Linked DNA regions of Kluyveromyces lactis. The protein of the gene in region 2 interacts with the protein of the main gene of each other region in a pairwise test. Links are inferred from orthologs where the notes say so. Each region holds a gene or a part of one and is shown on either strand. Other genes may lie near its edges.

Region 1 (3,987 bases), on a different chromosome or scaffold from region 2:
GCATGCTGGTGTTTTTATTGCCAGAGGTAAAGAAGATCTTTTGGTCACAAAGAACATCGCTCCAGGTGAATCTGTGTACGGTGAAAAGAGAGTTTCAGTTGAAGAACCTTCCACTGAAGAAGGTGTCCCACCAACTAAGGTGGAATACCGTGTTTGGAATCCTTTCAGATCCAAATTGGCTGCCGGTATCATGGGTGGTTTGGATGAACTATTCATTGCTCCAGGTAAGAAGGTTCTATATCTAGGTGCTGCTTCCGGTACATCTGTGTCCCACGTTTCCGATGTCGTTGGTCCAGAAGGGTTGGTTTACGCTGTTGAGTTCTCTCACAGACCAGGTAGAGAATTGATCTCTATGGCTAAGAAGAGACCAAATGTTATCCCAATTATTGAAGATGCTAGACATCCACAAAAATACAGAATGCTTATCGGTATGGTTGACGCCGTCTTCGCAGATGTTGCTCAACCTGATCAAGCCCGTATTATTGCTTTGAACTCTCATATGTTCTTGAAGGATCAAGGTGGTGTCGTTATCTCTATCAAGGCTAACTGTATCGATTCTACTGTTGATGCTGAAACTGTGTTCGCTAGAGAAGTTCAAAAATTGAGAGAAGAAAAGATTAAGCCTTTGGAACAATTGACTTTGGAACCTTATGAAAGAGACCATTGTATCGTTATCGGTAAATACATGAGAAGTGGATTATAAGAGCTGCTAAAGAAATATTGATATTTTGAAACCAATGCTAGAGTATGCCTACTTGGTTCATGATTCCTTCTATTAATCTTTTTTTTTTGGCTTCTAATCTTTTTTTGCTTACTTTTTAGTTTTAAAAACCTTCATTCCAATACAATCATTAACACTATAATATTATTTGAAATTTTGCATCTCATTGATTCGTGATAAAGTTCTACAAACTAGAAAAGTCTCCACTTCGTCTTCACTTGTATTTTGTCACTCTGTGTGTTTCTTTTACTTACAGTCCAGGTCCTTCGCCTGTTCAAAGGAGATCGACTAACTGACGGGAAAAGAATAGAAGAAGATTTCAAAACCTTGTTCATCAACTTGACAATACAAAAGAACCCATTTTCACAATAACGGTATTAATACTCGAACACTCTTAACCTTATTTTGTACATTTAATTTGTAGATATATTATTATTATTATCACATACTATATATAACTTATATATATCAATAACAACCATACGTTCTAGAAAATCATGTCTGGTAGCAGTGAATTAAAGGATATAACCCCATACGGGTTACGATACCATAATACGGTCCATCTGTGCATCTGTTGACAAACTCTTTGTTTCTTTTATCTTTAATCGACATCAAATTGAGACAAAAGTAAAGAAAAGTTCTTGAAATTAATAATTATGATATTTAAGACAACAGTGGTTTTGATATTAAGAGTAAACCTTTGAAATAAGCTAAAAGTATACAAAGGTATCGGAAGAGTTCAGAGCCAGATCCTTAAAATAGGTATCTGGTACAGCTGGAACAGTAATTAGTAAGGTAGAAAGCCTTGTGATGACGGAGCAAGGGTGTGTTATAGAGATCGATAGTGATCCAGAGCTAGATGCTCAAATCAGGGAAGAATATGCACCAAGGCGATTGATTCCAGATCGCAGAAGGAATAGACCCAGAGACCATTTGTCAAGATTTGTTTCCAACGCAGAGGATAGAAATGTGGCTCCTATCGCTCCTGCTACAGATTTGCCAGTGTCAACAGATGGTGAAGATTTGGAGATAACTGCAGAGGTTTCCTTGCGACCTGATGGGCCAATAAATGATGATGCAGAGTACATCAATCTGGACAACTACAGGGCTTCCAACAATGGTACTGTGGTTGTGGATCATAGAGAAGGGGATGATGATTTAATGCTTGTAGAAGAGCGTATCCAGGAATCTGGTAGACCCGTACTTTTGCAACTCCCGGCAGGTCAAACGTTACAGGTCGATGCTTCCTGGAATGAACTTCCGGTGGGCAGGTCGTTCCAGAATCAGGTATACAGGAATCCAAACCAACTGCGAAGACTACGGCGACATATTGATCATGCTACTGCTATGTTTATGGGTGGCTACAACCAGTCAGGCACTGGTGATAGTGATTTCAGCGATAACGATGCGGATTACATTCCTCCGGATATCGTTAACGAAAGAAATCAGTATACAATGCAAACGCGAATGAGAGAACAAAGGGAAAGACAGAACCAAATGCAAAGGCTACAGAGAGCTGCTGATGAGACGATCGATTCCTTGGATCCAGATCTTAGGAGTTTGTTCTTTGAATCTCAGTCATTGTCTCAATTTAGGGAAGGACTTGCTAGGTTCAATTTCCCACCAGCGAGGCTTGAACAATTGCTTGGCCAGTACAGAGATTTTAGAGCCCGGGCCATGCAAAGTTGGGCTGAGGGAAGGCGTACTAGAAGCATGAGTTACCAAAATAGAAATAGCCTAAGGCCACAAAGAACAAGAAGCGGTACTCAACAAAATCATTCTCGTGGATCAAACGGAGATTCAAGAGACAACGCCCTTTATCAACAGATGTTATTTGGAATGCCAGATGATGATGAAAATATGGACGGCAATAATTTCACAGGTACAACGCAGTCTTTACAACGTATTATATCAAACACAATGAATAGAAGGTTTGGCAATCTACCATTTGGTGTGGGTCCCGAGTTTGGATTCTATGAAGATGGAGATGATGCGGCAAACACAGAATTGATTATACGTATGATTCAAGAAAGAGAGGAAAGAGATGCCAGTACAAGAACTAAGAAGTTGAATGAAGTCACTAAATCTCAGCAACAGAAATACATCGACAAAGCGAACTCTTTGCCTGAAGGATATTCTGCGTCATTCAACACTGCACCATTGATGTCGATGACTATGGAGAATGAAGGCAGAGAGGAGACGGTGATGGTAACAGATGACGTGGCCGCGAAAACATACATCGATGTTCCTGTCTGTGTCCTATGTGGTGTGGAACTGGGAGTTGGAATTCCGGATGATTGGAAAGGTGTTAGTGAAGAAGATAAAGGCGTTTCATTTGAAGCCCTTCAGTCACACTATAAATTTCACTGTCCGTATCAAACTCTTGCAAGACCTACGCTAGTTGATAGAGATTTATCTCGCAGAACGTACGTGAGTTCATGTGGACACACTTTCTGTGGCCGGTGTCAAGTAAGAATTAAGAACGCAAGAGATATTTCGGCAAAGGAAAAAAACAAGTTAAAGAACTCTCAAGGACCTTCGCATCCGGATAATTATGGTCCTAAGAAATGTCCTGCCGAAGGTTGTAACAGTAATTTAAGAAAAAAAGGTATCATGAGAGAGGTGTACTTCTGAGTTATCATCGTTCACTAAATCATTCTTTTGTATCAAAAAGCTGTCGATTTGCACATGTATCGATAACAGAGAGCTGACCATGTAAAATTATAAATAGCATATTAGTTCTTAGAATGTTGTCCTAAACCTGGGACTAATCTAGATAACGAAAAGGTGGTTGGCTGCCTGTAACAAATTATGTGGTCCATTCCCTTATTTATTAGGAAATTCAGAGCTTCTCGATTATTTACCATTACATAAAAAATATGATACTTAAGGAAACGGAATGAACATGAAAGGATAAAGACAAAAACTGCCTTTGTATGGGTTATCTTCATAGCGTCTGTAATTTTATGAACGTAGCTTTCATTCCTAAGTCGTGATCAGTGGTGGTGATCAGTACTAAGGTCAAGAACTGGTGAATTTTCTTTGAACTTGAACGGGTTCGTTTTGCATATTTCTTATGAGAAAGGAGTTAGTGATAGTGACAGCGCTTTCCTTGATAGTCACTGGATGTATCAATTCAATTGCTACTAAATATCAGGACAATCAATGTGTTAGGGATTGTGACAGTATATCGCCTGTTTTGTTTGAACAACCGGTGTTGCAGACATTGCAAATGTTCATCGGTGAAATATCCCTAATGTTTGTTA
Region 2 (4,461 bases):
TGCTGATAGATATAGTTATAAATATAACTTTCCTTAGCGATTATCTGATGTCTCGTTTGAAGACAGAGGAAACTAGAAACAACTACTATAAAAATTTACAAAACACAATATCTACCTTATTAATATATCTCAATTACTACAATGCATACTAATATATATATAAATATGAAAAACTCTTGCTTCAACTAAGCTCATCTTTAAATTTCATATTTCTTCCATGTTCCGGAAAAGAAATCAAACAATAATAAATAAAGCAAAAACAATAACATTGAGAGTTTTACATACAAAAAGGAACCCAAAAGACTCAGTCAGATACCAGGCAGCTCAAAAAAATTTCGAGACAAACGACGAAATCTAACGCTGCATTAAAGCTAAAATAAAGTAGAACTAAAACTCCCTCTAGATGGCTGAGAAAATTTCAGTGACGGCTGCTGGAATATTTAAGGAAAACCCTGTATAAAACAATATACCATATATACCTCTAGTTGCATAGTTCAGAACAACGCGCAACACTTGGCTGTCCAGATCATGGAGAGCACGGACTCTTTTCTCACGGTCTGTAGCCTTTCTGCCACCGTATACTGCCCAACAATTGTAATTCACGCTTTTCATCACTAGTCGCTTCTTGTCATCGTAAGGTGAAGCGATCCCAATTGATCGCACCTATAAAGTGCTGCAGGAAGATGGACTTTTGGATCAAAAAATCTACAAATCCGCTTTTTTTTTTTTCTTTCGAAAGAAAAGGGCAGTAAGAATCATCTCGAAGATAAATACGTGGCTAGTGGTATAAAGGATCTTGAGCAGCTTGGTCTGAACAAGAGAAAAAAACTGGACAGGATGGATAACTGGTTGTGTCCTTAGCCCCGGGTGGAGTGGAACACTAGAAACACGTGTCACTTGTCTTTGAGCGAAGAGTTTGGCCCATAACTGCTGTTGTAGACAACATTCTACCAAAGGAAATGTATCGCCCTTTTTTTTTCCTTTCGGTCTGCTTGATCGTTCCATTGACTGGCAAAATAAACGGATGGTAGATGCTAGCTGAGACTACACATCAACCAATTCCATTTCACCGTTGGTATGTAGTCTAGCCAAAGGCGAGAAACTGGCTCTCTCAAAGATGTTGAAACTGGTTGCTTCATCAATTCTCCTGTTTCACGGGTTTCTAAATCAAACTTTTTTTTTTTCATGCTGCAGCCTGGTTTGATGAAATTTAATGGCTCGGGAAAGGAGGGCATCGGTCAAATTTTTGATATTCGTATAATAACTGGATCACGCTTTTTCCTGTGGACCGGACTTATGTGTTGTTGTTGTTGTTACAAGCATGTAGTGTTACCCGGTGGATATGGCGGAAGAATTGATTCTTTCAAAGAAGCTGTATGTCTGTATAATTTCTTATGTTGTCCTCTCTGGTGGGGTGCATTAGCGGTTCGTATTTGGATCGGGACGAAGGGCAGCACAATCATGGAGTTTTTGAGGTGGTCTTCTTTTATGTTCACGTGACTGTTTTTTTTTTCCAAGATGCATGCTCTTCTCAGTTTCGCTCCCCTCAAAAAAAAAAAAAAAAAAAAAGAGAACAGTTGTCTTTCGCGTATTGTAGTTCTTTTTTTTAACATCCATAATAATAATAAAAACAACAACCATTAACAATAGGAAGTGATACTTATGGAGTTGGTTGGTTTCAGGTTGCTGGCGAAAAGCTAATATAGGCTCCTGTTTTCCTCAAGTTGAATGTCCAAACTTGATTCTCTTTTGAAAGAATTGCCTACACGAACAGCTCATCTATACCGCAGCATATGGCATAAATACACAGAATGGCTGAAAACGATGCCCGATCTCACCGGCGCAGACCTGAAACTTTTCTTGTCTCAAAAGTACATTGTCAAATATATTGCTTCGCATGATGATATCGCGAAGGATCCATTACCTACTTGTGACGCCATGATTTGGTTCTCTCGTGCTTTGGACATCGAAAATAACGATGTTCTTGTATTACAGCAACGGTTATACGGTCTAGTGAAATTGTTAGAGTTTGATTATTCTAATGTTATTGCTATCTTACAAAAGATTTCTATCAATTTATGGAATCCCAGTACGGATTCCTTACAATCAAAACACTTCAAGACTTGCCAGGATAAGCTAAAACTACTCTTGGATTTCCAATGGAAATTCAATACGAATGTGTCTTTCGAAGACAGAACTACTGTGTCGTTGAAAGATTTACAATGTATATTGGATGATGAAAATGGTAAATGTGGATTGGCGCATTCTAGTAAACCTAATTTTGTTCTTGTTCCCAATTTCCAATCACCATTTACTTGTCCAATCTTTACCATGGCAGTGTACTATTATCTACGATTCCACGGTGTGAAAAAGTACTATAAAGGGGATGGTTACCAGATCCTTTCACAATTAGAACATATACCAATAATTAGAGGGAAATCCTTGGATCAATATCCTCGTGAATTGACTCTTGGGAATTGGTACCCAACTATCTTCAAATATTGTCAGCTTCCGTACACTAAAAAACATTGGTTCCAAGTTAACCAAGAGTGGCCTCAATTCCCCGATTTCAGTGACAGTTCAGAGAATACAAGTACTCTGGCTGAATCAGATTCAGAAAACACCATTGGTATTCCTGACTTTTACATTGAAAAGATGAATCGTACTAAACTTCAACCTTGCCCGCAGGTTCACGTGCACTTGTTCCCCACAGACTTACCGCCCGATATTCAGGCAGTGTTCGATCTTTTGAACTCAGTGCTAGTCACTAGCTTACCACTTCTCTATAGAGTGTTTCCCACACATGATATTTTCTTGGACCCATCCTTAAAGACACCGCAGAATATCGCTTTTCTTACCGGCACTCTGCCGCTTGACATAGAGTCTCAAGAGCACCTTTTGGCTCAACTCATCGATAAAACTGGTACTGTCTCCGAATTAGTGCCTAATCCTGTCAAGATAGATCAAAATGAACATACTCTGACACCTATTGGTACCTCACTGTCACAGACTGATATTCCTATGCTTGACCAACTAAAAACCGAATTACAAAAGTTGATTCAATTACAGACTTCGACCGGCTTTTCTCAATTGATTACTGTCCTTCTTGAGATATTCCAAAGGTTGGATTTCAAGAAATCTAACAAGCAATTTGTAATTGATTTATTACAATCATGCAGAAAGGACATGAGAAACAAACTCATGGACCCATGTTCTCTTTCGACTAATTTTGCTGATGAACTCAGCGATGATGAAAATGAGAAAGGAAATAAGACAGGAGCCATTTATGATCCTGAAACTGATAATGGTAATGAAGAGTCTGTGAGCGATTATGAACCATCTTTTAAGAAATCGAAGCCAAATTATACAGAAGAACCTTTATCTGATGATGAAAACATGGAGGAAGTTGCTCAATTGGTAAATCAGCTCATAACTAGGAAATTTAATGAAAATTTGGAACAGCAAACTGATCGGATTATCAGTTCTATACAACCAACGCTTCGTGACATGGTCCGTACTGAGGTTGCAGATGCACTAAACCTTTCCCTAAGAGAAGCTTCGCGTGACAGTGTCAACAAGAAAAACAGTGACGAAAACTTTCAGAATTATTCCTTAACAGAAGATCATTTTGAGATGAATCCCGACTGCTCTGACATCAAATCAATTATTCTAGAATGGTTTACCCCAAATCGTGAATGCGTGCATTCGATGAACAAGAAATATGGAAACAAATGGCGACTGACAGAACCAAATCTGTCCTTGTACAGGATACGGAAGCCAATTGTTCAGTATTACATACATCTAATCAATGTAGAAAACCTCAATAAGTTTGACGCATTGAATAAGCTCGAAGCCGTGCTCGAAAAGCATCACTCCGTTCCGCTTCTCTCTTCCTTCTTGGAGAAAGCCAAGAAAAACGGCTATGCATCTGTCACGTGAACATTTTTTGTTAAGCATGCTTACTTTGCATGAGGTACATAAATGAAAACCGTATAATAGAAAATTGTAACCATATTTAGCAACGAAGCAGTAAAGTTGCTTCTGAACAAAGTCATAACTAGCTAAGAACCTTTCAGTATTTACTTGAAAAGAAAACTATAACGAGCCTGATGAGATTATGAGATTCTATATATTGTTTTTGTACCTATTTGGTACTCTAGTAGCGGCCATCCATCTTGATGACCCGCTTACTAACTTCAACTTTACTCCTCCTATAAAATCTCCTAACGACCTTCTGGACCACGAGCGGACGTTAACTGACGGTGAAATTCCAAGGTATGTTCTAGATCATTCACCGTTGATCCATCTTTACAGCGAAGAAAAATATCTTCCAGGAGACATCCAATCCTTTGTACCGCACTTTCAATTGGTAACATCGAATTATGAGACGGTTGTAAATGAACCTCTGAAAATATCAGATCTCAAGGGTGAATATAACGTTGCAGGGGAAGTTTTATCCAG

Evidence for each region.
Region 1: the proteins of CBF2 (region 2) and SLX5 interact in a two-hybrid assay, tested with the Saccharomyces cerevisiae proteins (3 studies listed by BioGRID). The link is inferred for Kluyveromyces lactis from reciprocal best matches to the Saccharomyces cerevisiae genes CBF2 and SLX5.

Annotation. Positions count from the first base shown.
Region 1 is NC_006039.1:401,726-405,712, forward strand, and holds SLX5 (SUMO-targeted ubiquitin ligase complex subunit SLX5), read left to right. Parts: upstream 1-1,531; coding exon 1,532-3,355; downstream 3,356-3,987. Other genes in the region: rRNA methyltransferase NOP1, read left to right, coding at 1-703; KLLA0_C04433g (uncharacterized protein), read left to right, coding at 3,798-3,987. UniProt on the Saccharomyces cerevisiae protein: Component of the SUMO-targeted ubiquitin ligase (STUbL) complex SLX5/SLX8 that mediates ubiquitination and subsequent desumoylation of sumoylated proteins and proteins containing SUMO-like domains for their degradation.
Region 2 is NC_006041.1:345,294-349,754, reverse strand, and holds CBF2 (Cbf2p), read left to right. Parts: upstream 1-1,728; coding exon 1,729-3,939; downstream 3,940-4,461. Other genes in the region: KLLA0_E03785g (uncharacterized protein), read left to right, coding at 4,118-4,461.